Linked DNA regions of Notamacropus eugenii. The protein of the gene in region 3 interacts with the protein of the main gene of each other region in a pairwise test. Links are inferred from orthologs where the notes say so. Each region holds a gene or a part of one and is shown on either strand. Other genes may lie near its edges. The genes, in order: RAD23B, RAD23A, USP25 and TNKS2.

Region 1 (7,931 bases), on a different chromosome or scaffold from region 3:
GTAGTTTCTAACTCAAACAGAAACTGGCCCTTACGAGATCTGCAGCCCAACTGGCCATATACCGACTTAAAAAAACCCCACACATTGACATAATTAATGTTATATTGTATTTTACTTTTGTTAAATATTTCCCAATGTATTTTAATATGGTTCAGATCCACTCCAAGTTTTGAAGGCCTGAAGTCTGCATACTGAATGGGGTTTGAAGTAATTGTAAAGGAAATATAGGGAATTTGGGGGTAAATAAATATACTATTAAAATTAACCAATCTATTTCTTTGTTATACAGATATGCATGGTGAACTCTAGAACTGATTTCCTTTCATAAAGAAGAGAAACTCAAAACAAACTAAAACAGAACTCAAAAATATAATAAAACATAAATAATGTTCATTTGTGGTTTTCTAAGTCAATATGCAGTTGCAGAGATCCCTTTCCGAATTTGACAGCATTGCTTTCAAGCACCTACACTCTCCATGAAACATGACCACCCTCTCCTATTTCAAAAAGCACTTGGCACTTCACTTATATTATCAAGTGACTTTAACTTTTCTCATACACCCTCTACTAAAGTAAAAGTTCTGAGTCCAGAGATCACATCCAAGTTTTCTCACCGCCAGCTCCACAGACAGAATGGACTTAATATTTGTTCAATTGATTTTGTTCATACCAACAACACACACAGAAATTGTTTTTCTACCTGTTGGAAAGTAAAGAAACAATTCAAGGAGATTTTAAGTGATTCTCAACTCCTTAACAGGCAGTCAGTAATTATTCCAAGAGGGAACCAGGGAAAGGAGTAAGTATTTATCAAGTATCTAGCACTCTGGTAAGCACTTTACAAAAACCAACTCCTCTGAACTTCACCACAACACTCCCAGCTAGGTGCTCTCCGACCTCCCATTTTACAGCTGAACCAAGTGAAGCAGGCAGACATTAAGCGACCTGCCTAGGCTCACACAACTAGTAAGTTTCTGAAGTCTGATTTAAACTCAGCTCCAGGCCCAGTTCACTGTATCCTAGCTACTACGTAAGACAAGTTTTTAAGGTAAAAATGTTATTTTTAAACATGAATTTGCTACTCAAAAATCCTATTAAATGTCACAATTCCAGGTTAGGAATTCCTGTACTATACTTTTATATGAGGCAGTCAACGGAGCAGTGGACAGGGTGCCAGCCTGGAGTCACAAAGTTTAGTCTTCCTGAGTTCAAATCTGGCCTCAGATGCTTACTATCAGGGTCACCCACCTAACCCTATTTGCCTCATTTTACTCATCTGAAAAATGAGGCAAGAAAAACCCAAACAGGGTCACAGAAGAGTCAGACACAACTAAACTAGGTTTCTCATGCAATGATCTAAGGACTTGGACGGGATTTTAATAAATATATAGAGCAAGACTCCATGTCCTTCCTCCTGGACCAAGAAGGGTGGCTGTCCAGTAAAAAGTCCATATTAAATGGCCACCTTTCTTCATTCAGGAAAAAATAACTTCTGCCATTAACATCAACATGAGTCACTGATTAAGCTCGTGGTCTGCCAGATGTTAAGGGGGACAGATATAAATAAGAGGCAAACTAGGGGATGAAGGAATTTCCATCAAGGAGCAGAAACAAACACAAACTGCCACGAGATCAAACAGGGAGAAGGCCCTTCCACCTGGACGTCAGGCGGGAGGCTTCCCATCTGGCACAGACCATGGCAGAGCCTAACTGGCAAACCTGCGCTCTCAGGACTGGCCCATACTTGGAATACCCTGGCAGTGACCTCAGCCCTCTTAGCTGTCACAAGCGCCCAAACTGCCACAGAAGCTCACGGCGGTGGGCACTAAAGCGGGCAACGCTTACGGTAGCTTGTTCTAAACTTTAACACGGGAGGATGAGACTTAATGCAGCTCTCCAGGGCACCAAGGGTCTGGTCTGGTCTCTCCCAACCCTGCCATTTTATTCCATGAGAGACCCACGAGGCTCTGCCCCTCGCCCGCTGGGCAGCTGGCTCAGCAGGGGTCCTGGTGCCACCAGGCACATGGCGCCGGACTCGGGGGCGTTCCTGGCCTAGGCACACCTGCGGAGATCCTCTCCCCACTGCGGATCCCGGTGAGACAGGTTCCCCAGCCTCCGTGACCGCCCTCCCACGGGCCAGGTCCTCCCGCGGCTTCCGCCCCAATCCCACCCAGACTCCCACAGCCTCGGGCTCCACCCCCAAGCTCGGCACTTCCCGAGGCTCCCCTCCCCCTCCCCGCCCTCCCCGCCCCCCGCGCAGATTCGGCCCCCCCACCCCCCCCAGGCTCCGGCCGCACTGCCCCCCGCCCGCGGCCCCTCCGAGTCCCCGGGTCCGCGCAGCCGCGCTGGCGCCCCCCGTCCGCCCCTCCTAAAGCTCTCGTGGGGCTCTCCCGCGCGTCCAGCGCCGCCCGCAGGGCCGGGCCGGGGCCGGGGCGCCCAACCGCCCCCTCCTCGAGTCCCCCCGGCCCCCCCGGGCCCCAGGGCGGGTGGGGGAGGGGGCCCGCCTCGCGGCCCGCGCTCCCGCCCCTCCCCCCGCCCGCGCGGCCCTCCCCTCCGTACCGTCTCCTCAGGGCTGATGTCGATCTTGAAGGTCTGTTGCTGGAGGGTCTTGAGAGTGATCTGCATGGTGTCGCCGCCGCCCCCGGACGCCATGGCTGCTGTGGGCTCGGTCGGCCTCTCGGGCCCGCTGGGAGGGAGGTCGAGGTGGCCGGTGGGGTTGGTCACATTCACCCTGCGGGGCGGCCTCTCCCCCGGGCCTGGGCCGCCGCCGCTCCCGCTGTCGCTTTCCCCCGGCGTGATCGGCCGCGATCGCCTTCTCCCCGAGGCGCGGGGCCGGTGGGGAGTCCGTCCTCAGCACTGCGGGCGGGTCTGGGAGGCAGTGAGTGAATCCGCTAGTTCATCAGGGCCTGGTCGCCACCATCATGACTCGCTTCGACATCCCCCCTCCCCCTCCCGAAGAAGTTGGGGGAGGGGTCAAGAGGAGGGTGTCGGGAAGCGCGCAGGCGCAGGGGGAGGCGGGCGGGTTGTGCGCACGCGCGGCACGTAGCCCCTGTTCACGCAGGTTCCGAGGCTGGGGGATGGGGGTGGGGTGGAGGAGCGGCTGCTGGAATTCGGGCTGCCGGGCTGGCACCTCGTGCTGGGGCAGCCCGCGTCCGGAGTGAGCGGCTTGCGCTTTTCGCTGCCCCGCCGCCTTTCTGTACGAAATGGTGGAGTCCGGGTGGGAGGGGGGATCCTGGTGCCCGAAGTCCGGATAGTAAAGGAGTTTCAGATTCCTCCTGGTGGCTCGCATCGCCACTTTGGCCTCCCCCGGGCGCCTGCACCATTTATCTCCCCAGTGTGAGTGGCAGGCCAGGCGGTCCTGAACTGGGGCGTGGGAGACAAGAAATAGGGCCACGGTTTGGGTTGGGAGCTAAAGTTCACTCTAGACTGCCACAGCCTCGGCTCTCCCTGCAGTCCTCCATTTTACTGAAACTCAACACGAGCCTTTCGAAATTAAATCCATCAGCAATCATTAAGCGCCGGCTGAGTGCCGGGTACTGCTTAAGCGCCACAAATACAAAGAAAAGCTCAGGTCCCGGCGGAGAGAAGGTGCGGACAACTTCTACAAAAAGGGGAACCAACTGCGTACAAAAAAAAGGTAGATGCTTAGAGCTACGCAGGATTTTAAGCGTTGACCGCGTGTTCCCCTGGAGCCTGGCGCTGACAATGTTACACAGGTGGTGTCAGTTACAACTTGTAGCATTTTACGAATGAGGAAATTGAAGGCGGCTGAGGGCGTTCAGAGGCTTGACCGAGATCGCGTGGCTATTAATGGCAAAGCCAGGTGGGGCCGCGGTTTGGTTGCTACTTTGTTACTTTCGGACTAATCAGGAATTCCCCCTTACCCTTCCAGCTTTTGTTAATTCACCTCCAAAATGAGGGGTCAATTTAGAGAATTAGTCAATCCACAAGCATTTATTAAGAACCTACTACGTGCCAGCAACTGTCCTGGGTGCTGGAGATAAAAATACAAAGAACTAAACAGGCTTTATTCGGACAAGCGTTAAGCAATATGCGATGTGCCTGGCATGGTGTTAGGCACTTGGGGATATAGGTTTAAAAAAGGAACAAAATAATCTCTACTCTAAGAGGAACTTACATCCTAATGGGGGAGTCAAATACGTGTGAGAATATATATATGGCATAAATGTACAATACTTGTAAAGTAGCTAAACATGATACAGCATTACCTAATTAAATATATACACAGCAAAAGTACAGAATATAAATACAGTTTATTTAGAGAGGAAGGGCACCAGCAAAGGAAAGGCTCGGTTTTGAAGGTGGTGCTTGATTTTAATCTCTGCCTTGGGGCAGAGGTGAGGAGGGGGTATATTTTAGGAATGGGATACAGCCGGTACAGAGGTGTGGAGAGGGGAAATGGAGTGCTTTGTGTATAGAGTGGAAGTAGTATGTAATGATGCTAGAAAGATAGGTTGGGGCCGGTACTTTAAAAGCCAAACAGAGGAGTTTATATTTGATCCTACAGGTTATAGAGAACCACTGAAGTTTGAGTAAGATCAGATCTGTGCTTAAGAAAAATCACTTTGGTAGCTCTGTGGAAGACAGATTTGGATTGGTAGAGACCTGAGTGACAGAGACCTATTAGGATGCTATTGCAATAGGCAGGCAAGAGAATAGTCAGGCCTGATCTAGGACGGTGACTGTCTTGAGTGGAGAAAAGGAGTTGTGTTAGATGTGGAATTATAAGATGTAGCAATTAAATGAATATATGGGATGAAGGAGAGTGGATAACCCTGAGGTTAGGAACCTAGAAGACTGGAAGAATGAGTACCTTTAATAGAAGTATGGGAGTTTTGGAAGAGGGATAAAAAGATTTTTTAAGAGAAGATAATGAGTTGTATTTTAGACATATCAAGTTTGAGATGTCCCTTGGACATGCAGTTTGTAATGTGCAATAGTTAGTGGGTAATTTGGAATGGAAGCTCAGGGGAGAGATTGGGACTGGACATATAGATCTGTGCCTCATTTGCATAAAAATCATCAAACCCATAGGGATTGATACAGGTCAACAAGAGAGAGTAGAGAAAGAGAAGAAACATGAGCCCAGGATACAGCCAGTAAGGGGATGTAATATGAATGATGAGCTGGCAAAGGAGACTGAAGGAGTGGTCAGATAGGTAGGAGAACTGAAAGAGAATAATTCCTTGAAACCCAAAAAGGATAGAGTATTCAGGAGAAAAGAGTAATCAATTTCAAATGCAGTGCATATATATGTGTGTGTACATATATGTACACATGTATATGGATAAAGACTGAGAAGAAATCATCAGACTTGGTAATTAAGAGATTGTTGACACTTTATGAGAGATGAGGGAGGAGTTCAGAAGTCAGACTATAAAGGCTTAAGGAGTGAGTCAGATGAGAGGAAGGGAGGAAATAAGTGCTGACTTTTTCTAGGAGTGTGACTGCACATGGAAGGAGAGATTTAGGACAATAATTTAAGATAATCTGAGAATCTAGTGAAGGATTTTTTTTAAAGGATAGTGAAGATGGGTATATTTGAAGACAGTGGTCAAGGAACCAATGGACAGGGAGAGGAAAGAGAGGTTGAAGATCAGAGGAGTGGGTTGGTTGAGGGAGCCAAAGCGTTAGCCTTGAGAGGAAGACTGTTTCATGATCAGATTCAAGGAAAAAAGATGAAAGTAAAGGCTTGTGAGATGAAGAGAGAAGGGAATTTGTGAGGATTGGTCTTCATTTTCTCAGTAAAGAGAGATAAAGTTCTCAGCCAAGAAGGTGGGGGTAGTAGAAAATATGGGAAGCTAAAGGAAAAAGAGAAAGTTTGGAATAGCTTTTGTGGGTTATAAAATCAGGGATTAAAGGGGGAATGAAAGGTACAGCAAGGTCCTTTCTAGCTGGGAGGTGGGGGGAGGGCAACGTACTCTTGTGGGGTATATTGTTAAGAACAAGAATTAATGGCAGTTTTGAGCAGTGTTCATGGAATGTTTGGCTTTAATCTTTTCTTGTGGTTTGATCAGGGCAAGAGGCAGAAATTGAAGTGCTCTGCTGTTTAAAAATACTTGGTAACAAGCCAGTTATTTCTAAGGACAAAAGTCCACAGAACAGTCAGTTGTTTGCAAGGGACAAACTCATGTAAAATGAGTGGATTGCACTAGATGATCTTTGCAGTCCCAATAAAAATTGGGAGCTATTTTTTTCTGACTGCTTGCTTTGCGCGTGCGCGCACACACACACGACAGATGAATGAGTATACAAAGGTTACATATACATAAACTGGCTAATACTGGAATATCTAGCTCAGTGATTAGAAGAGCTTTAACATTTGTAAAACCTTAAGGTGCATTATTTCAGTGGAGCCTTACAGTAGCCCTGTGAGATTGATACTAACTGTTGTATTGTCCCCACGAGCAAGGAAGGTTTGGGGAAGTTAAGCGATTTTGCCTGTGGTGAGTAAGTATCCTAGTTAGAATTCAAAGCCAGGTCCTCCTGCCTCTCCGTCCCCTCAGCTATGCTGTTAAGTTTACACCCAACAGCTTTTCACGGTTTGGAGATAGCAAGGATTTAACTGGTAGCTTATTCATATAATGTTTGTACTTTTCCCTTAATCCATAACCCTCCCCCTAAAATTGTGAAGTTTATAATTCTATCAGACATAAATGTGATTTTGAATTCTTATAGAATTCTGGCATTTTTAGATAGGTGCCAAGTCTCTGTAAACAATATTTTTCTAATAAAATACATGGTAGATTCTTTTACTCAAATGAATAGATGGATTCATTTAAAAAAAATATTGACTGATTGCCTCCTATGCTCTATGTTAACAGTGACTCTTGGTGAAGGCAGAGTTGGCAATATAACCCAATAAAAAGAGGACTGAATTTGTAGTCAGAAGACCTGGATTTGATCCCAGGTCTACTGCTCATTGTGTGTGACTTAACCTTTCTGGGCCTCACTTTCCTCACTTGTAAAATTCAAGAGTTGATTCTAAATTTGATGGTAAAAGTGCTTTTGCCAGGAGTTCTTCAGCACAGCACCCTGAGGGAGCAGGCAGCATGTGACAGCTGAGTCAAACCATTTCTACTACCATGACACCATCTCTTCTCAGACCCAAGGAGAGGCAGCTCAGAATCTGGAACCCCAAAATCCCAGGAATAACAGCATTTCCTACACTTCTAGCCTTGTTCCTGCAGCCACCATGGAACAAAACATTCCATGCATCACCAGCGACCCCACCACTAACATGCAAATAAGCTGAGACACCCAAGAATCGCAGCTCTCCTTCCTCCTGCCCCACGCTCCCCTACCAAGAGCCCATCTCCTACAGTCATTGTCCAGGAAAACAAGCCTTAGGGAGAGGAAACCTGGCCACACCTTTTGGACCCCAACCACCTCAATATCTACATAGGGCATAGAACACCTAGAGGAAAACAAGTTTTCACCACCAAACTCCTTAGCTTGTCATATGTTTCAGCATCAGAAATCAAGATGCTTTTATCAATGAAAATGACGATGCATTGCCTCCTGCTTTTTGTCCTATACTCTAACGACCACTGGGCCTTTCCATCTGACTTGCAGCTGAGCCCATCTCTATGTATTGTTTATCCTGTTATAATACGAACTGCTTGAGTTCAGGGATCATATTGTCTTCCTATTCATATCCCCACCATTTAGCATAATGCTTTGGAAATTGCAGGCATTTAATAAATGCTTCGTAATTCATTCGTTCACTAAAAATTCAGCCTTAAAACAATGCGGAATCAGACAACCTAATCCTCATTTTCTCCTCGCCTAGGCTCTACCATATTTTTACACATTTAGAATAACTTTTCTCTATGATTTCATTCACATACTGTTTTTAAAAAATGATTATCGAGAAGATGGACTTTTTAGTTGCTTTCGTCTGCAGAGGA
Region 2 (7,196 bases), on a different chromosome or scaffold from region 3:
AAAACGGCCAAAAAAGTAAAGTTAGAACAATCCAAGGCTGCTATGAGAGTCACACTGTTCAAAGCAAAGAAGGCAAAAGTTCTGCTCTATTCTGCCCTTATCAAACCGCCTGAGAGGCAAGTAGGATGGTAAAAGAATGGGAGAACAAGCTGTGAGGAGGAGCTGAAGGAACTGAGGAAGTTTGGGGTAGAAAAGGGAACATCTGAGGCTACAAGGGAGCAGGTTAAGATCTGAAGGGCTATCCCGTGGAGAACTGCTTCTGCTTGATCTAAGGACAGAAATAAGAGCAATGGGAAGTTGCTAAGAAATAGATTAAGGCTTAATGTAAGCAAAATCTTCCTAACTAGGAGAGCTGTCCCAAAGAAGCATGAGGCTGCCTTGGGAGGTAGTGAGGTCCCCTTCACTAGGAGTCTTCAGGAGAAGCCAGGCAACCATGGATTAGAGGTGTTGTTAGAAAAGATTCTTGCTTAGGACCCAGTTGGATTCAGATGGCCTCTGAGATCCCATTCCTTCATTCAGACTCTGTGCCCTCTGATTCAGGCTCCTCAAAGGGCTGCTCACCTCTCTCTCGCCATCCTAGGGGCCCTGGATCTCTGGGAGTGGGGACAGAAGACAACAAACCCAGAGATGCATTGGAGCAGTCTCATATATGTGAGACTTGGATCAGATTCATCCTGCTGGGCTCCAAAGGGTAAAACTTAGATTGCAAAATCATCTAATTTGAGCTGGAAGGGACTTTGGAAATCATCTAGTCAACCCTCTCATTTTACAGATGAGGAAACTGAGCCCCAGGGAATGTTAAGTAATGTATACAAGTTCACATAACATAAAGTGTAAGCCATAGGACTTGAACCCAGATCCTCAGACACCAGAGCCAGTGACCTGCAGTACACTGTACAATGCACTGAATGGAAAAGGTACAAGTTGTAGGTAGGCAGATTTTGACTCAATTTAAAGAATATTTTCTAAAAACTTAGAGATGTCCAAGAATGAAATGGGCTGCCTCAGGATTTAGTTCCCTGTTACTGGAAGTCTTAAAGCAGAGGTTGGATGATAAAATGATCAGAAATGACACAGAAGGAATGTCATTTAACCCCTTTTTAGGCCTTGGCTGCCTTGTTTATAAATGAAGGAACTGGAATTGATGCCCTCTGAGGTCCCTTTCCAATACAGAGATCCTGGGAAAGCATGAGAAAAGGAAAGTCCAGAGCTCATGAGTCCCCCAACCCCAACCTGGGAAGGCCTTACCCAGGCCCAGCCTCTGGAGGTGTCCCAGCAGCTGACTCTTCTGTGGACTTCTTCTCCTCACTGGGTGCTGGCGGGGGTAGGGGCATGGCAACAATGGTGGGAGCTGGTGGGGCAGGTGTGGAGGGCTCCGGGGTGTTGGCAGCAGCAGGGGCAGAGGGCTCCGGAGGTGCCGAAGTGGCAAGCCCAGCTTTGGCCTGGGAGGGCCAAAGAGAAGATAGGTCAGAGCCTTGTTTTTATCAGCTCCAACAGAGCTGGGGGACCAGACCCCACCCTCACCAGGCCTAATCTATCTAGGACACAGATGGGCACACACCATAGTTGGAATATCTTCTAGTCTCCTCTACCCCAGGAGCCTACTGGTCCTTACCTTAGTCACCATGACGACCACAAAGTTTTTCTCATCAATCTTATAGTCTCTGATAGGGACATCGTCACTGAGGATCTTTCCTGCATAGATAAGCTTCTGTCCAGACACAGGGAAGGCATCACGACCCTTTTCTGCCTCAATCTTCTCCTTGAGCACCTTCACCTGAGGAGAAAATCACAGAATTTAGGTCAGGAAAGACCCTTAGAAAAAGAATCCAACCTCATCCTTTTACAGATAGGGAAACTGAGACCCAAAACACAAAGGATTTGTCCAAGGGTTACAAAGTGAGAGTCAAGAGATCGGGGAGGGGAAGGAAGGGTAGAGTCTTATAGACTGGGTCCTCAGAACTCTGGGGACCACAGGAGGAAAGGGGAACAGATGCCAATATGGAGAGTCGCCCAGGCTAGAAGTCAGGAGCTGGAATTTCTCATCCCAGCTCTTGCTCACTATATGAACCTAAGCAAGTCCCTTTTTTCCTGGGCTTCAGTTTCCTCATCTTTCCTATGAGCAGAGGATTTAGAGATCAGGGGATTTAGAAGGGCCCTTGGAGTCTGTAAAAGGAGGGATAATCCCTTCCCTGCCTCAGCCCGCAGTCAGTACCACAGCTGAAGCAAAGGTCCAGGATATGCAGGGCTCCCAGCGCTTCTTTGTCTGCCTGTGTCACCCTCGCCTCTCCCCCTCGTACCTCCGGTACTTGTGGGGACAGTTCTCCCCCCACTACCTACTCGGCAGTGTTGTTGGGTGGGGGGAGCTATAGCTCACTATCCAAAGTAAGTCACTGCTGTCGTCATCATCATCATCATCTTTACCTTCATCGCCCAGGGCTACCGGGGCTTCCCCAACAGAGGACCAGAGCTCTGCCAGCAGCCTCCCCCTTGTCCAAAAAGTAGCTCTGGGGGTGGCTCCCCATCCCCGCCCCCAAAGGCCCAGAGAGACAGGGTGGGCGCTGACCGCTGAAGGAGAGCGTGGTGGTAACGGGGAGAGGGGGGACTTGGGGGACCTGGAAGGGGGAGAGGGTTCAGGGAAGGGGAGGGAGGTCCGCTAATGACAGCAAGGGGGAGGGGGTGGAAGGGGCTGCGTCTGGCCCGCCCCGCGGGGAGAAGGGCGAAGGCGAGTCGGACTTGTGCTGTCCCGTCCCGGCCTCCGTCCCCGTCCCGGCCTCACCGTCTCCCCCGGCTCCATGCGGATCTTAAACGTTTGTTGCTGCAGCGTCTTCAAGGTGACGGTGACGGCCATGGCTGGGCCGGGGGGCGGCGGCAGCGACTGCTTCCGTCCGTCCGGTCCGTCCCTCACTCCGTCCGACGCGGCGGCCCCGGGACAGTAGACACACGGGAACATGCAACTCACGCCGCCGCCATCTTAGCGCCCTGAGCCACGCCGGGAACTGCTTCCCGGTCATGCGCGCCTCGTGACGAGACCGAGGAGGGAGAGGCGCGAGCGCAGCGACCCCGATCACGTGACGGGGGTCGATGAACGGAAAAAAAAGGAATTTTCTCTCCCGGTCATGCGTACTGAGGAACCACCTTGTCGCTGTCGCAGGGGCAGCACACCTCTGCCCCCCCATTCTCCCCTGGAGTTTGCGCACTAGAGGCTCCTCGTATGGTGACGTCATTGTTTGGGTGGCGTCATGTTGTCACAAAATGGCCCCAGGAGATCATAGTGTGATAGTTAGGGCTGCAAGGGACTTTACAAGTCCAACCGTTTCTTTTACAGATGAGGAAATTGAGGCCCAGAAATGCTTCAGTGACTTGTCCAAGGTCACACAGGTAGCAAACAGAAGAACAAGCCTGGTGCTGTCACCTCCAGGGCGGGGGGAGCCAGGTTTCCCCCATCCCCCATCCCCTACATTCCTACATCCCCTACACCTTCCAGCCTGTCCCCTCCCAGCAAAGTCCATATCCTGTGCTTTCAAGAAAATCCCAGTTGTTTGGGGAAATAGCCTCGCTTGGATCACCCGGTGCTACGCATCTCTTGGTCCTGAGGCTTTCACCGACTCCTCTGGGCGAAGCTCCAGACACGAACACAACATCCGGCCTCTCGCCGCTCTCCAGGAGGTCCCCTCTGTTAGGAGGTCATCACGTAGGGGAGGTCTCAGCTCAGAGTCAGAGGGTGGGGTCAGATCTCCCACCAGTGCGGACTCCTTACGTGATGGCTTCGCAGGTTACGCCACACTTCCCAAGCTAGATTTTTGTCCATCTGGGACCCAGTTCAGCATTTTATACAGTGTAGTCAACGTTTGTTGAATTCCATTGACAAGCTTAATATCAAAAAATGTAGTTGGGGGGAAAATGCAGTGGAATATCTCTCACTTCCAACTTGATAAGAACTCCCGGCTTCCTTCAAAGCTCAGGTGTACCACCTCCACAGGAAGCCTCTCTTGTTCCCCTCCCCCACTGTGAATTATCTCTAGAAATTTCTCATATTTACTTATGCAGGGATGTGCTGGTAAATTTTTAACATACTCTGCAAAAATAAAAAAGGTAGCACAACACCCTTTTAAGTTTAATTTGCATTATTAACATTTTCATCACATTTTAGAGCAGTGATATCAATAGAAATGGTGGTCACTGAAGTACATAAGAATCCCCGTAGGACACATAGTGACTTAGAAAAGCACATATTAATATTACCAGTGTTTTGTAATCTTTTTATTTATAGAAGTGTTGTGGGCTTGCAGGTTTAGTGTTCAATACATCTGGTCTACAGTATAACCAACAAACAATAAATCATGTTTGCTAATTTTCAAGGTATAAAAGCACACACTGAAATGTAAACAATCAGCGTGATTGGCTCAATAGCTGCCGTGCATCGCTGCTTATAAATGAACATGTATTCCCAGCGGAATGTAAGCTTGAGAGTTTCCAGCCTCTAGAACACTGTGGCCCTTATTGCTACTGTAGCTGTTGCTGCTGAGTTTTCTTTTAATATTGTATTTGGGGTTTTCTCGGCAGATAAAACAGGGTGAAGTGACTTGCCCAGGGTCTAGTAAGTGTGTAAGGCCAGATTTGAACGCAGGAAGATGTATCTTCCTAACTTCAGGCCAGGCATTCTATCCACTGTGCCACTGTGTAAGCCTTAATGATAGTCAAATTTCATTCTAGTTCATCTTTCTCATCCACCAGTTTGCTAAGTTCACTGAGTAAACATATTAATGAACAAGCATTTTATTAAGCAAATACCATTCGTCAAGCATCGTACTAAGTACCGGGGATATAAATACTAGTCCTGCTAGATTCTAGTAAGAGACGACATAGGGGAATAGTTGTGGCAAGGGAGGGACACTTGATTCTAGAAAGTACAAAGGGGCAATAGCCGATATAGCCTATCAGTTATGACCAGCACTAATTTTCTCAAACACACAAAATGAGAGATCTGAACTTCAGGGAGGATACAACTTAAGAGCAGGTATACAATGAGTTAAGGGACTTGTATCTTTATTCCGCTGGTCCTCTGGGATCTCTGGGGGACCTCAAATGACATTACAATAACGGAAGGAGGCTTGGAGGCCATTTCATCTATCCCTGTGCAGAGATCCCTTTACTAACAGCGCTAACAGATGGCTCACAAGCCCTAGTGAAGAGACACCCAACATGACTGTTTGTCACAAAGTAACTTCCATTCTGTGATCTTAGTTCTGAGCCCAAAAGACTTCAACCTTAATAAGTCCTCTCCTTGAAGGCCTCACCTCACCTGTCTCTTTACCCAAGCCCAACAGCCATCCTTTCCTACCCCAATCTTTTAAGGCTTGAGGATCCTCATTATCTTGTTTGTTGACCTCTTTTGGATGGGTAATCTAGATGGCACACAATGGAAACAGAGAGCTGGGCATGGAGTCATAAAGACTCAAGTTCAGATTCCCACCTCAGACTCTGTCCAGCAAGTCACTTAATCTGTGTCAGTCAACCCATCTGTAAATGAAGATAATAGCATCTACCTCCCAGGGTTGTTGTGAGGACCAAATGGGATCTGGAACACAGTAAGCACTATAAAAATGTTAGCTGTTGTCCTTTCTAGGCTCTCCTTTGGAGACCTCACCTGTCAGATCAATCATTCCTGGGGCTCTCTCTGGACTTGACTAGTCCCTGGCGCTCTCTTCTCTCTAGTATTTGCTAGCAATCTGCACAGCTTGAGGCCCAGTTATCAAGCTGGAGCCCAGTACCAAATTCTCCCAACTTCCCAATCTTGACAACAGCCACACCCTCCTTAGGCCCCTCATTCAGGGACTCAGCCCCAATATAGTTCCACTTTCATTTCCTCTATTCAAGCAACTTAATGCCTGTCATGAACAAAGCAGTCTATGCTAGACCTTGGTGATAGAAACAGCTACAATCAAGGGCTCTCAACTTCATGGTCTAACACATAAATATCTTGATCACAACACAAACTATAAAAACCAGTCCTCATCCTGTCATTCTGGCAAGAAATTAGGATAATTTCAACTCACCAAACCCTATATACATACTCTGACACAGCAATCACTGGGATTTATGTACGCCACACTAAGTGATCAAGAGGGAAAAGGGCCCATATAAATAAAGTGGGTGGTCATTATTTGGGGATGACAATTTCTGCAATTTCAGGGGGGAAGAATAGAAACTTTATGTAATAATGCAGAGTAGTACAGAGCCAGAATTCATATGCTGATGATAAAAATAACTCTAAAAGAAAAAAGCACTTTTATCAATGAAATTACCAGTGATAACTGTAGAAAACTTGGAGCAGGCTTCCCTTCAAAGAGTGGACAGACTGGTACAGAATGAATATACATTTTCAGACACTGCTATTATGTGAATTTTTTTCCCTTGACTCTGTTACCAGGGAGGGTAGAGAGCTTTGTATTGGGAGTGGTGGCTAGTGATACTGATGGGAAAGAAAATTTTAAAGACTCAATAAAAAAATAAGTTACCCAGAAGAAAGAAGTTAGGTGGTAAAGGTTCTGACAGTGTTATTATTACGTTAAATCTTACTTATAAACTCAAAACTGAATAGTTACTGTTAACAGGTCCTCCCAAAAAGCTTTCCTTCATAATCCAGTCTTTTGGCTCCTGGAGAGAGGCCATGGACCAGGATCTCTCCTGTTGTTTGGAACTCTGAGCCCTACAGCACAGGTGGGGAAAAGAAGCTGACCAGAGGCACAGAGGCCATCTTCTCTGGCCAGAGCAGCCACTAGACAGACACTTCACACTGACCAGAACCCCAGGGATCTATCTGTTCCACCCCACTAGCTTAGGGCTGGGCAGCAGTTCAGAAAACTGAGAAGCTTACACTGCTCCCCTCTCCAAGAAATCAAACACATGAGGGAGACACAAAACTTAATTTAATAGAAATTTCTTTTTTTGTTGTTCTTACATTCTCAATGTGACCAAGCAAGAACTGACAACCCCTCCCTAACCCTCCCCCCCACAACAGGGGCTCTGCCCCCACCCCTGCCCTCAGCCCAGGCAGAGGGGAAAAAAGGGAGCAAAGAGTTTGGCTTAGGCACTGTTGGCCAAACCCTAGCCCCCCTCAGTGCTATGGGATACCTAAGGGCAGGGCCAGGCTGACTGACCCCCCTCCTCCTCCTCTCTGGCTCCTGAGGATG
Region 3 (7,007 bases):
AATAAGATAATGTATATAAAGCAATCTGAAAACCGTAGGGTGCTAACAGCATATAAATACAAGTAGTGGTGATAGGAGGAAGAGGAGCAGTTAATCACCACCATCATCATCACCACCAAGAGATTCCTCCCACTATAAAGAATACATTGTTAAACTCTAAACTAGAATATTGCTTAGACTAGTTATAGCCCAGTGACCTTATTCGAACCACGGATAGGTACCTGGGGTAAATGTTAGTTGTACTTTTTCTTTTTATCCATGGTGCCTCTATTTCTTTGTATTTCCCTTCTGTTCTGGGTGATTTCCTCCCTTACTGACAATCTTCCTTATTCTGTCATACTGCTTAACAGTTACTGTTAGCTAAGAGCACTCTTTGTTAAAGTAGTTGCTAACTAAAACTTAGTGTGTAGACAGAATTTGAAGTTTCAATCTTTTTTCCAATAAACTCTAATATAGTAAGATAGATACTGTGAATTATCTGAAATGGTGGCAATATTTCAATTTAACAATTCCTTCTTTTCAAAAAAGGTTCATTAAAATGGAGTTGAATTCAATCATCTCTAAGAGCTCTTCAAACTAGATATAATTTTGAATGTAGGAGTTATGAATTATAATAACATATGACATTCATGTAGGGATTTAAAGGTTTACAAAGTGCTTTAAGCAAAATATTTCATTTGAGTCTCACTATGATCCTATATGGCAAAAACCTGGAATTATTCTTGTTTTACAAGATAAGGAAATAGAGATTTAAAGGGGTCAAGGGACTTGGCAACCATGTAAACAGCTAGTATTCAAACCCAGTTCTCTCTGGATTCCAAGTCTAAAAGCTCTTTCTCCTAAACTTCTGTTAATGTGCCTTCAGATGAAATTTAAAGAGTAAAGGACGTAAATTAAGCCTGTAATTATTTCACCACATCCCATAAGGTATCTACAGTTATCTCAGGAAGCAGTAAAGTTTTAATATTAATTATATTACCAACCAATATTTTAAGATATTTATTAACTAATATTTTAAGACATTATTAACTAAGTTAATTAGCTATAATTCAAAGCTAGAAAAAAGAACTTAAGATTGATAGACACTCGGAAGACGGGAGTAATCAAGAAAACAAACAAGCTTGGGTAGAATGTCACTAAAATGGAAGAGTATTTACCTAAAGAAACAAAACAAAGCATCTGTTTTACAAATTTTTCACAGTAAACTTCAGGTCTCCTGTAATCACTAGACTAATTAAAAATTGCCTACTCGACTGTTTCTAACACAAACTAAAAAGAAATTCTAAGTCATAGTTTACTGTTCTCTCATGCAATGGTTCAAAGGCAAGATTATGAAGGCTAAATCTGACAACATGGACATCTCACATAATCCAGTACTACAAATTGAAGGTTTTGCCATTACGACTTTTTGCCTAAGTCTTTTTTAACCGGCTGCCTGCCTCAGTTTCCTCAACAGCATAATGGAGATAATAATGGCACCTACTTCCCAGGGTTATAACCAGGATGAAGTAAGTTAATATATATAAAGCTCTTGCCACATAGAAGAACTTAATAAACACTTGTTCCTTCCTTTTCCTCCATAAAAAAAAAAAAATTTGTTACTAACACTTTTAACTCTAGGAGGGCATGAACTCAAAGGGGGCAAACTGTCAAAAATGAAACAAGGTCAAACTTAAGAGACAAAAGGTTTCTATAGTATGAACTTGGCCAGAGGTTCTTCCCTTTTTCAGCCATACCTTGTAGCCTAAAGAGTACGCAAAAGAAACAAACAAAAATCTTCACACAAAGGACCCACATGACAGGGACCCTGTTATTTCTGACCTTAAAGTCCAAATGAAGTGCATAAAGGGGAATTATTCCTTCTTTTTTGAAATTTCATTAGGATAAACTTCAAAAGGGAACCTGAGAGGGACACAATAAAAACAAGCCCACAGAGGAGCGCAAGTGGCGTAACCTGCTCCACTCTAAGTACACCCCCTCAAATAAATTTTAAAAAACCTTCATTGCGCCCCCCCCCCGCCCACAAAGAGACACCCTGAATCAATCGGGTTTCCTAAGGGCGGATGGGCAGCAAGGGTCAGAAAGGAAGTTCTGGGGGCAAAGGGACAAAACAAATCAAAGAGAAAGAAGCAGCTCGCCACCCCGGGGAAGGGGAAGCGCCCCAGTCCTGCGGCGGGGCGCGGAGGGAGGACCCATGGGGAGCCCCGCTCCGAGGCCCCCCGCTCCGAGGCGCCCCGCTCCGCGGCTCCCGGCTGCGCGCTGGGGGGACGGGGGGCCTCATCCTGCGGCGCTTGGCCTCTGCCTGGCACTTCCTAAATTCTGGGTAACAGAGCGACCCGGCCGAGGGGTCAGCGGCCCAGAAAGCAGAGGGAGGGGGCCGCGGCCGCGGGGGAGGGGAAGCCGGAGTAAGTCCACAAGGCGCGCGGGGGCGGGGGCGGGGGCGCGCCCTCCAGGACCGCCCGGCGGACTCACCTTCTGGGAGGTGCTCTGCTGCAGCACATTCTGCTCCACGGTCATGGCCCCCGCAGCGGCGGCGGCTGCTCCCCCTCCTCCCCTTCCTCCTCCTCCTCCTCGTCCTGCCTCCTCCCGCGGCTGCCGGCTCCCGCTTGCAAGCTCTCGGGGTCTCCTCACTTCTGCCCTCTCCTCCCTTCCTCTTCCTCTTCCCCTTCCCCTCCGAGGACAGCTCGGCCAGGCTCGGGGTCAGGACTGCGGGCCGGGGATGAAGGAGGGAGGACGAGCCGGGGGCAGCCGGGCGAGCCCGGACTCAGCGCAGCACGCCCAGGGCGCCCCGACGAGCCGGGGCCATGGGCGAGAACGGGAAGGTGGAAGGAGAGAGAGGGCGAGCAGGAACTCCGAAGCCGAAGAGACCGCGGCGGGCGGCGGCGGCAAAGCGGAAGCCCGTCACTCTCTGGGCTGAGCTGAGCTCCGGGAGACGGGAGGGAGGGAGTGAACCGCGGGGCTGACGGACTGAAAGGAGGGAGTGGCCGGGTCCGGAATGGCGCTGTCCTCCGCCTGCCCCTCCCCTCCCCCAACGGCCGTCACCGCCGCCCCCCTCCCCTCCTCTTCCTCCGGGCCCTCTCCCAGGCTGGACGGCCTTCCTCCCGCTCCGGCCTCCCTCCTCCCCCGCCCTCCGCCCTCGGAGCTCGCATTGTGACTGCGGAGGCGGCCGCAGCCCCTCCGGACACACCCTGCGGCCCGGGCGGGCCGAGGAGTGACCCGGCTCTTCCCCCTCACCGCCCTCGAGGCCCGCAGGTTCCCCTCCCCCATGCCGGCACCCCCAGACGCAAGTCCCTGACCGGAGCCTCGCCCTGGGAGGACCCCGGCCTCGGACGGGACTCCCGCGATCGCGCCCCTGGGCCTGGCCCCCAGCCTCTTCCCTCCCTCTGTGCGTGTGTGAGCCCACGTCCCTCCTCCGGGCCTTCAGAAACTTGGTTAGGAAGCTCCTGCAGGCCGCCCTTCTTTCTAGGAATTCCACCCGAAGAAACGACTCTAGCAGGTTCAAGTGGGAATCAGGCCACCAAGGTGGGAACCCGCTTCTAAGCTGTCAGTGGTCCCTTGGCTTAACCGGGGCTGCCCCAGCTCCTCTGGCAGATACTGACAGCATGTGCTCTTCGTTTGGAATGAGACATTTTCTGCAGCTTTGGGAGGGGCAGGGAGGGAAGAGTTTGGGGGGTTGGGGTTTTTTTGCAGAATAGTGACATAACTAATTCATAACTCAGCTATACCTTAAAATGTTGCCAAATTAGGGTAACGATTTAAAAATAGTTACAGCTGTACATATGACTTCATTCTTGGCTACACATTTCGTTACCCATACATAGAAGGGGGAGGGGGCGCCAATCTGAAGGCAACAAGAAATTTCTGGCAACAAAAACAGCTTTAGCTTCACGGTCTGGTGGGGAAAATGGAGAGTTACTGACATGAGCATAAACTATGCCTATAGGAATGGAATTCTACTTATCATTGTAAATCTTAACTACAGATTAATTGGAACATTTTTTTGTTTCATTTAATGACCAAGTCAGCCAACAGATATTTATTATGTATTAGCATTATTTAAAGAGTACAGTTTTTATTTGAAGACTATTATTCAAAGTTTTACTGTAATCATATTTATGGCATTGAAGGTGATCATTTTTTTCATGGCTATTTAGACACTAATAATAAAATTTTAAAATGATGAAAACTTAAAGTGAAATATAGTGCATTATTTTTAATGTTATCTCTAATCTGATGTCTACAGGAAAAGTTGTTTATCGGAAGGATTAGGTCAGAATCTTTTGTGATAATCTCTTTGAATCTGCATTTTCACGTGTAAATAGAAATGGACTTAACTGATAAAATATTTTACAGAGAAGGAAACTGAAACCCAGAGAAATTATTTGTCCAAGGTCATACAGGAGACATCCAGGTCCCCTGACTCCCAGTCCAGCATTCAGCTATCGATGGACAAGTCACAGCATTCTGTTGTCCAGAACCTTCAAACTTTTGGGAAAACCAAATGGCCTCAAACAGAAAATAGATTCAGGGTAATATAATGCTACTACAGAAGCCAATGTCTTTTTTTTTAACTAGAAATTAGTGATAAGAATTTGGTAATAAATTCCTGCAATTTCATCTAATTCATTATTTCTTGAGCACTGGGCTTCATTTTTTTGTATCAAGTTGCTTTTAAAATTGTTCATCAAATAAAGCTCTTTCTAGCATTACCACATTTTTTCACCTGATTTATAGTAACCTTACCTTTTGGATTATGCCTTTCATATCATCATATTTTTGAAGCTTTAAAAAAACAGTAGTACTTGGGAAAATACAGATCATCAAATTCTTTCAACTGTATTACTATTTCATAATTTCAAAAGCTCATAATTTTTATAGTGACCGAAGAAAAAATATACAATTTTCTTTGTAAATGATTCATAAATAAAAGACACCACTGAACCTTTTATCCATGTTTTTATTTTCTTACTTCAGACACTTCAATCAACCTGAATTACTGGATCAAACTAGATTGCCGCAGTCAAAATACCTAGTAATGATACAGTCTGTTAACCAAGAATGTATTTGAAGTCTTTTCAGTGAAGTAGATCATGCTAGAATTTAAACTCTTCAGCCTTGTGGAGCCCAGGTTAACTTCTACACCATGATGAGAGCAGAGCTTGAACAAAATTTTTTTGAAGTGATAGATTTGGCATAATAAAAGCCAATATTTGTTTTAATTATTTACCAAAATTATCAGTAAAAGAAAAAAAGTTGATGAAAAACTATCCAGTAAAGTGTTTGAGTGCCTAAAGGATTGCTACTCTAGATCCCAGAAATTATTTCTTAGATTCTATTGTCCATAGGGTCAGAAAACCCTTGAGAGTCTGAGATGAAGTGTACCTCAATTATCATCACATAAAACTAGTTAGATTGTTGCTGAGAAAGAAATTGAATGTGTTTCTATTCAAAGCAGTATTCCTGTCTGTGATGTAGTTTAGTCAATTTCTACTTTATGCTCATAATTTGATTTCAATCAACAAGGTAGCAGTATGCAGTTAAGACAAAGGAAAGAATGTTTTCTGTTGTCATAATGGTATTATTCAGGGAGCTGAGTGTTCTAGAATATTTTCACTGAGAGCTTGGAGCAGTGTTTGAAAGGAGGGGCACCCAATTGAGATGGAGAAAGGGTAAAAACATAACAATTTAAAGTGGAAGAAATAATGATAGCTGATATTTATATAGCAATGGAAAGTTTGTCTCAAAGTCTGTGATGACAATAGAAAAACATTAAGGAGCAGATAATTAGTGAATTTGTCCACTGATGAAAGACTTCAAACTATTATGTATTCCAAGCTTTTGTTAGGATTTGAATAAAGCTTTCAGTGGTACCATTGCACTTTGTATTTTTTACTGACATTTTCAGATTGAATGTATAAAAGATCTCTGTGAAATGGAAATTTAATTCAAGCTATTATACAGGGATCCCCAAAGTCTTATTTTAGTCTTATAATAGGCTCTTGCTTTACAGAGAGTTCTTTGGAAATAAGTTATACACTGAGAAATAGATTGACCCTACCAATTGCATGTCATTGCTCTCCTCACAGACTTTCCCCAACTTAGATTTGCTCTCTCTTAATCAAATATTCCTCAGAGATCCCAGATTCTATCTTCCTTGACCTTTGTTCTGGATTGTACAGATGGTAGACCCCACCTGTCAATATGGGTAGCAATGAAAACAAGTTTCAACCTATTGGCAAATAGTCACACAAATCAGAACATGATAAAAAGCAGAGGTGTCATACTGAAGTAGAAATGGAAGCCACTTATCCATATATAAGGATTCCTGTGGCTGCATATTGACTTAGAAAAACACATTGTATTTGTAATGATTTTGTTAAATGTTTCCCAGTTCCAGTTTAATGTAATTAAAATAGTTCACACCATACTTAATGCTGCAGACAGCATGTTTGACCCTCCTGGAACAGGATTGTATATTATTTAATCCTCTTCTCACCTCCAGAGAGCACTGGTTCAGCATATGCCAGTTCCAGACATTCCATTCCAAGCTTCTCAGAAACTCTCCAGTGGGGGGTAATCCAGAATTAGATTTGAAATCTGACCACCTGGATCTGTTTAATTCCGTAAACATACTTCCAAGGCTACTTTACTGCAAAGCTCTCACCCTTTAGTACTAGCCACTCTGGGGATTACTTAAGACTAGAGGAGTTCAGAGCAACATTTTACCAATCTATGTATTGGATCAAATATGCTTCTGAGCCATATGGACGAGCATAGACAGTTTCCTCGGATTTGATGGTTAAAGCCTCTGCAACTAGTTTCTTGTTACTCCTTGGCTTTTTTTCTCAGGAAATTATAACTTTTAGGGAGATGGACCAAGGGACTTCTTATACTCCATGAAATCGTAGCAACTCTTTGGAAAGTCAGATAGAGAAGAAAGGTTTTATTTCACTTGTTTTTACCCAAACCTCCTTGAGACCAGTGACAGTGATTTTACTAGCATAGAG
Region 4 (7,787 bases), on a different chromosome or scaffold from region 3:
AAGCTCGAATTCTGGTGAGGGAAGACAATACACAAAGGAGACCTGGGTGGGAGGGGTGCACGGGGAGGGAAGGGCACTTCACTATATCATAGAGCAGGCCAATAAGTGGTTTAGGGAATAATGCGAAGATAATTGAAAGTCCAAGTGGAAGAGGCATGGATAGGGAGCAGGTCACTACTTCCACTGGTCATTTTTTTTTTAATATTAGCAGATAAATTCCAAATTATGCATAATTGAAAATGACTTGGTCTTTCATATTCTTTTCTATTCTACTAATCCTTAAAAGTCTGTGTGCTTTTTAAACCACTAGGTGGGAGCAATTGTCTCAGAACACAAAGGTCTGAGAAAAGGAACTAAGGAGGATATGAAGTTTTTGCCGATTATCAGGGGTTCTTTCTCCCCTTTAACAAATATATAAACATATGCATATTTAAATAAACATAAGCATTTATGTAAACTAGCTTATATGCTTGCTATTTTATTTATGTGTGCACATGTATATATATTTGAGAAATCTCATTATTGCTGTTGAAGAAAATGACCAGTTATTGAGTGCAAGAGTATGATTGAATTACAGTAATGAGTATGGTGACATGATAGCTATCTTCAAGTATTTTTAGAGGTTGTCTCATGGAAGAGGGATTAGATTTGTTTTGTTTGGCCCCAGAGGGAAGAACTAGGAGCAACAGGTGGAAGTTGCAAAGAGGTATATTTAGACTTCACATAAGGAAACTCTTACCATTAGACCTATCCAAGAGTGGAATGGACTGTCTCAGGAGGTAATGGGTTCTCCATTGCTGGAGGTGAAGCTACTTGCCAGTTATGTTGTAGAGGGGTTTTTTGTGTGGGTGCATATTGCACTAGATGGATTTTGAGACTTCTCCCTGAATTTGACATTCTATGAAAAAATTCACAAAACAAAAAGAGACAAAACAAAAATTTACAGAAGTCACTGCAATACCAGAAAAGTAGTGATGTTATTTACGCTTACAAATTTTCTTTTTAAAAAGTTTTATTGATGATGAAACAAACAGCAAAAGTAATAATATAGTAACCTTATCTGAAAGTTTATACAACATTTCACATTTGTGGGTCTTCCCACTTGTCTAAAAAAAACAAACAAACCAGAAATCTATTTTCTCTCCTACTCCCATTTAAGCTAAACAAATTCCCTAAATGGCTGCATATAAAATATATGTCTCATTCTACATCCTAAATCCATCACCTTTATATGATAGCCTACTACTGAGTTTACCTGTCTCAAGTTTCTCCACGGCAATCCATCCTCCAGTCACCAAAGTGATTTTTCTAAGGTGCAGGTCTAACCATATTACCTTCCCAATCCCCCTCACCACACACCCCCAACTCAATAAACTCTAGTGGCACTTAACACCTCCAGGATCAAATATGAAATCTTCTGTTTGGCATTCAAGTGCATTTATAACCTAGCCCCCTCCTACATGTCTTCTTACAACTACTCCCTAACATTTATTCTTTGATCCAGTGACACTGGTCTCCTGGCTGTTCCTTAAGCAAGATAGGCCATCTTAAGGCTCCAGGCATTTTCTCCAGCTGTCCTACATGCTGGACTACTCTTCCCTCCTGCTCCCTATCTACTAACTCCCCTGGCTGCCTTTAAGTCCCAACTGAAATCCTGTCTTTTACAGAAAGCCCTCTCCAGTCTCTTCATTCTAGTCCCTTCCCTATCATGTATATAGATTTTTGTAAATTTTTGCTTGTTGTTTCCCCCATTAGATTGTGAATTGCTTGGGTGCAGGGACTGTCTTGCCACTTTTTATATCCCTAGCGCTTAGCATAGTGCCTGGCACGTATTAGAACTTAAAAAATGTTTACTGACTGTAATGGATAACATGTTTCATTATCAGTCCTCTGAAATCATGAATGGTTATGGTATTGATCATAGTTCTTACAGCTTTCAAAGTACTGTTTTAGTGTTGCTATTATATAAATTGTTCTGGTTCTGTTCATTATTAAAAGTCCTCAAATTTTTTATTTTTATAATATGGATGTTACAATTATTCTTCTTTGGTTACTTCATTTTTTGTTAGTTCATATAAATTCTCTAGGTAACAATCCCTAAAGTTCTAGCAAGCTCTTTTCACTAACCTCAAACTGCTTTAACATCTGATGTCTCCGGTAAGGCAGCTTCCTCCTCTATACACTTCTCATTGCTCTACACGTATTCAGAGTGTCAAAGATGGAAAAGACCTTAAAGGCCATCAAGTCCAAATTAAATCTGCACAAAAATCCTCTCTACAACATAGTGGACTAGTGATGTCTAGCCTTGGCTTGAAGATCTCTAATTGAACTTTCTATACTTCCTATGTAATCATTTTTTAAAACATTTGTCTTGGCTAGTACTCTAACTGTATCAATTAGCAATCAGTCAAAACACATTAAGTGCCTGCTATGTTCCAGACTCTAGAAATACAAAAATAAAAATGAAGCAGTCCCAGTATGAATCTGATAGCTATCATCCATTACCTTGTAAACTCCTTGGGGACGATATAGGATTCCTGTAGTCTTAGAGTGACCTAAAGCACTTAGAGCCAGTATGTGAGGCTTGAGACCAATTTTCTACTCACCACCAAAATGAATTCAACAACAAAAATGCCAATAGTCATCATATGCTTTATTTAAAAAAAAATAAATTTGTATTTGACTCTAATGCATCTTGATCTAGAAGCTGGAGCTGAAAGTTTATACTGTTTTTCCTCCTCAAGAACACAAAGAGTGGAGGAGGAGGCAGTTCCTAGGACAAATAACATTGTGTGTCCTTCCCCACCTACTCAACCTTTTTTATAATTGAAATATGCTAACAATGAACCTTGAAGGAAAAAGACAAGAAAGTCACAAAAAAGCAGCCTGTAGTTTGAGGGGGTGGTTTAAGAAAGGGACATTATCTTCAAGCAGCTGGCCTTAGTATTATGCATTCATTATATACACATGCTATAGGATCCCTGTAGTCTTAGAGTGGCCTAGAGCACTTAGAGACCTCAGTAGGCCTGAATTACTTTTCCAAAAGGAGAGGGTAGACTGGATGACTTTCTAAAGGCTCTTACAACTCTAAATCTTGTAACAAAGACCCTCAAGCCTAGTCCTTTCAGAAACAAGCTGGGGGATGGTTTTTAGCAGCTAGACCCTTTTTTCTTTTTTTATTATATTATACTTAGCCAAGCTTTAAAGTTTGCAAAGCACTTTACCTATTAGTGATTAACCTATTATCTCTCAAAATTTTCACAACCCCAGGGAGCTGGGTGCTATTATTCTCATTTTTATAAAAAAAAAGGATTAAGGTCCAAGGACAAGGTACCTCTCGGGTGAGATTTGAAATACAATTCCCTCACTGTACTCTCCACATTTCTACTATCGACTAAAGAATTTATCATTATTCAACAAATACTTGTTAAGCGTTTACCTTCGGCCAGCCACGGTTCTAAGAGCTAGGACTACAAAGACACTGTCTCTGTCTTCAAGAAGCTCGGATGTAAATAATAAGGGAGAAAACACTAGCATTGAGGAAAAGCTCTCTGTGGAACATGTGATTTTTAGCTGGTACCTGAAGGAAGCCAGGGAAAGCAAGAGATAGGGAGGAGAAAAGAGAGAATGTCAGGCGGTTAAAACTCAGTCTAGAGACGGTGTCTCGTTCAAGAAACAAGCCAGTGTTACCGGATAGGAGGGTAGGTGCGAAGCAGTATGTTGTAAGAAGGCTGTTACGGCGGGAGGAGGCCGGGTTAGGAAGGGCTTGGGACGATTTTCTCCTTGGGGGTGACGTGGCTATTCCTGGGTTGGCTAGGGCAGAGACTCGAGACAGGCGGACCACGGCAGGCTGTTGTAACTGCCCAGCGCCCCCGAACCGCGCGGCGTCCGAGCAGAGAAGTTAAAAATCGAGGGGTCCAGAGAGGATTCGAGCATTCATTCATCTCATTCTTACCACACCTTCTAAGTGTTTGTATTCCTCTCAAAGGGGCTACAAACACAATTACACCGCCCCGGGCTGGGAAGCAAAAACTAGACAGTCCTAGCCCTCGGGATGTTTACACTCAAAGCGTGTAAAAAGAGGAGCGAATCCCCGAGGCCCGCCCTTGAATCGAGATCTAAGGCTTGCCGAGCGCGGGCTGCTTAGGGGATCCCTCTCCCAGGTAGAAAGCGAACACAAAGTAATAAGGGGGGCGGGCCTTCACGACGGCGGGAATCAGGCTGGGCCTCTCTTTTTTCTAGAAATCGGCTACTAAAAGCAAAGAAAATGGGGAGGCAGGGGGCAGGGCCGACAGGAGGGGAGGCAAACAACCGGAAATTTCCCTCAGGAAGGGTCCCCAAGGTGCTTCAGGCCTCCGCGCCGCGCCGAGGTCCCCAAGCGCTCTCGGCAGGCCAAAAGGCTTAAAAATGAATCTCCCCTTAGAGAACATGCGCAGAAGTAGTTAACCGAGCACTGTGGGCGGAAGGGGCCCCAGCAGCCAACATGGCAGCCAGGCCCTGGACCTTCTCCGCCTGCGCCTCAACGGCCTCCTTCCTCTAGTCTAGTTCCCTGTAGGCCCCTCCCCCCTCTGAGCAAAACCTGCCTGACGCGTCAGTCGCTTCTGCGCACGCGCATCCGTGGCCGTCCCGTGAGCCTCCCGGAGTCCCCAGAGCCAGCCGGAGTGGCCTTTGCAGCCACCGTCGCCGCGGCCGCTCAGGGAGCGGGGGGCGGGGCGGGAGGGACTCGCGCTGCCTGAGCGGCTGGGCAGCCGAGGGAGCTCGAGGCGTCCGGGGCCTGGGCACAGGGATCGCTGCGGGGAGGGGGGGGACCATGGTCCTGCGCCAGGGCCGGTGACGGCGGGGCGGAGCGGAACGGAGCAGCCTGGGACTCTGAGTACGTCTCTCCCCGGGAGCCTCGCCCTCCTCCTCCTGCCGTCGCCGCCGCCGCTGGCCGCGATTATGTCCGGCCGCCGTTGCGCCGGCGGGGGAGGACCCGGCGCGGGCGCGGCCTCGGCGGGGGAGGCCGTAGAGCCCGCGGCCCGGGAGTTGTTCGAGGCTTGTCGGAACGGGGACGTGGAGCGCGTCAAAAAGTTGGTGACCCCGGAGAAGGTGAACAGCCGCGACACGGCGGGCAGGAAGTCCACCCCCCTCCACTTCGCCGCAGGTAACTAACTTAGGGGACCGCCGCCGGCCGGAAGTGGAGCGCACAGCTCCCCCCCACGCCCCGGGCCTGGGGCGGTCTGGGATGTTGCAGCCCCACACCCCACCCCCAGCGCCCGGGCCCCAGGCGGAACTCCTCGGCAGAACCCTGGGCCCAGGTTCCCCGAGAAGGGGGATGGGGGAAGCTGCGGGCCCTTGACACCACCCACCATGTAGGTGGCGTTTTGTTTGTTTGTTTTTCACCTCCCGAATTCGTCACCGGGATTTCCTGTCCTGATAAAGCGACTGGGTCGGGGACCACGAGCTGCCCTACTCACTCTTGGGGTGATTTGAAGGCTAGAGAGGCTCTTGGCCACCCCCACCCCCCCTCCGACCTATATGTTCACTCGTGTCCTACCAGAAATTTCTACTATTAAATTGTGGGGTTAAGGCACTAAAGGCCTTAGTTCTAATGCAAACGCTATAATACGGGGAGAATGGGGGTAATAACCAGCAGCGTTCATGTAGTAGTTACGGGGGGTAAGACTTGAATAATTCAATTCAAGGAGTATTTATTACAAAAATAGGTATAATAAAAAAATTTTGCAAACTGAAAGGAAAGGACCAGTTGGAGCTATTAGAAAATCGAGGGTGAAATTACTTTAAGGGGGGAGGGGGAGTGACAGAGGGAATACACAATAAGATCAGCAGATTGGCTGGCATACCTTTGGACTTGTCTCCTTTTACACTGGACTTGGAAATTTTGATTTGGAATGGGGGAAGGGGGGTAGTCAGAAAAGGGCCCAGCTTGATAAGTGGGTGGGACAAAAGGATTCCGGACAAATTGTGGGCCCCTAGTACGTCTACTTGAGAATTTGTTTGGGACTAGCCCTACCTAAACTTTTCATTGGAGGGGGGGGAAGGTGTCCTGTCCCATCCCATCTTTGCTAAGAAGTAATAAAGTCTGACATTTGTGTATCACTTTACAGTTTGCAAAGTTCACATGTATTGTTTCATTTAAAGTTTGTGCTAATTTTTTGTTTCCTTGTTTCCCTTTTTCTTGAACAAAAACCAAATTTGACTCTCACTCCCACCCTTTTTTTAAAAATCCTCTTGCTAAAACATGGGAGAGAAAGGGCAGTATGGGAAAATCAAAATGGGAAATCACCAAAGACTTGATGTTCCTATTTTATACAATTGTGTCTAAGGCTTTTTTTTAATGGATTCTGTTTTTGGCATGCCCAGCATTCCGGAACTTCTGTTAGGCAATGTAGGTTACAGTAAAACAACTGCTTCCTGACTTGAGGGAATGTAGCAAATTGATTTAATAATATGAAAATAAGATTATTTAGAGTCCACTCAGTCTGTGGGATAGGAAAGCATTTAGTAGAAAAAGCCTTTGAAGATGGGTAAAAAATATAATCTAGATGTCTGTAGTTATGTTGGTTTCTCCTCCCCCACCTTTATCCAGAGACCTCATGTTACCTTTCAACAACCCCCTACACCTAAATTTGCCCTCCAATTACTGATTATAAGAATTTAAAGGGGAGGGAGACAAGAACTGGGAAAAGTCTGTAAAAGTAAAGGTTAATGCAAGTTTTTTTTTAATTTAAATTTTGTAAATTCAATCTAAATGAGAACTCCTTAGTTTTAAAATAGTGAATAGAACTTGTACATTTTTTTCTTTCCATTCAGAAGAGTAATTCTGTAACCTCCATTTTATAAACTATGTAATGTTGATACAGTGATATTTTGTAAATATCTATGTTGGGTGGTTCTCTATGACTAATAAGCATATGTGTATGGATATACACACACACATACATACATACATACACTTATAATGTTTTTGCTTGTATTTTGTAATAAGGATTTTGAATAACTTGCTTATCATCTGTAAGGTAGTTCCACTTTACATGGAAAAGCTGACTTTTCATTTTTCTGTATCAGACAACATTTATTAAGTGTCCACCATGTGCCTAGTACTGTACGTAGCACTGGGGAGATTAAGAAAAGCAGCAGTTTCTGTCCTCAAGTATCTTGCATTCTGTAGGAGACAACAGTACACTATAAGTAAATACAAGGTAATTTGTGAGAGAAGCAGTAATGAGGGGTGGGTCAGGAAATACTTCTTATAGAAGAAGGAACTTGAATTGACATTAGAAGATTGATATTCTAAGAGTTGGAGGTGAGGAGTGGGGCCCATTACAGGCATGGGGGACAGCCTATGCAAAGGTATGGAAGTTGAAAGCACAGGTACAATTTTTGACCTTTGTATCTCTAGCACTTATCATAATATACAGTAAGTGCTTAATAAATGTGTTTTGATTGAGGGTGACCTCTGTGAGGAGCAGCAAATAAGCCATTTTGGCTAAACTTAAGAGTGTATATTAAGTTTTAGAAGTGGGCTGGAGCCAGACTGAAGATCTTTAAATGCTAAACAGAGTATATATTTTGTCCTAAGGGCTATAGGGAGCTACTGGAGCTTTTTTTTTTAGCGGGATAGTGACCTGCTGCTAAACCAGCTGTCTTTTGAATAAGATCTATTCAGCATCTATGTGGAGGATGGATTAGAAGGGGAAAGCCTGGAGTAGGAGATATCAATTAGAAGCCTTTGTAGTCCTTCATATAGAGGTGATAAGAGTAGTGTCTGTGAGAACAAAGATAAG

What was found.
Region 1: the proteins of USP25 (region 3) and RAD23B interact in binary tests that used the Homo sapiens proteins (3 or more experiments, as listed by UniProt). The link is inferred for Notamacropus eugenii from reciprocal best matches to the Homo sapiens genes USP25 and RAD23B.
Region 2: the proteins of USP25 (region 3) and RAD23A interact in binary tests that used the Homo sapiens proteins (3 or more experiments, as listed by UniProt). The link is inferred for Notamacropus eugenii from reciprocal best matches to the Homo sapiens genes USP25 and RAD23A.
Region 4: the proteins of USP25 (region 3) and TNKS2 interact in a two-hybrid assay, tested with the Homo sapiens proteins (2 studies listed by BioGRID and IntAct). The link is inferred for Notamacropus eugenii from reciprocal best matches to the Homo sapiens genes USP25 and TNKS2.

The regions. Positions count from the first base shown.
Region 1 is NC_092872.1:21,550,772-21,558,702, forward strand, and holds the start of RAD23B (UV excision repair protein RAD23 homolog B), read right to left. Parts: upstream 3,012-7,931; 5' UTR 2,653-3,011; coding exon 2,560-2,652; intron 2,095-2,559; exon of another isoform or gene 1,788-2,094; intron 1-1,787. UniProt on the Homo sapiens protein: Multiubiquitin chain receptor involved in modulation of proteasomal degradation. Binds to polyubiquitin chains.
Region 2 is NC_092875.1:77,924,087-77,931,282, forward strand, and holds the start of RAD23A (UV excision repair protein RAD23 homolog A), read right to left. Parts: upstream 3,017-7,196; 5' UTR 2,954-3,016; coding exon 2,780-2,953; intron 1,778-2,779; coding exon 1,616-1,777; intron 1,443-1,615; coding exon 1,249-1,442; intron 1-1,248. UniProt on the Homo sapiens protein: Multiubiquitin chain receptor involved in modulation of proteasomal degradation. Binds to 'Lys-48'-linked polyubiquitin chains in a length-dependent manner and with a lower affinity to 'Lys-63'-linked polyubiquitin chains.
Region 3 is NC_092876.1:411,068,781-411,075,787, reverse strand, and holds the start of USP25 (ubiquitin carboxyl-terminal hydrolase 25), read right to left. Parts: upstream 3,014-7,007; 5' UTR 2,518-3,013; coding exon 2,473-2,517; intron 1-2,472. UniProt on the Homo sapiens protein: Deubiquitinating enzyme that hydrolyzes ubiquitin moieties conjugated to substrates and thus, functions in various biological processes including inflammation and immune response.
Region 4 is NC_092872.1:208,564,536-208,572,322, forward strand, and holds the start of TNKS2 (poly [ADP-ribose] polymerase tankyrase-2), read left to right. Parts: upstream 1-4,782; 5' UTR 4,783-4,938; coding exon 4,939-5,143; intron 5,144-7,787. UniProt on the Homo sapiens protein: Poly-ADP-ribosyltransferase involved in various processes such as Wnt signaling pathway, telomere length and vesicle trafficking.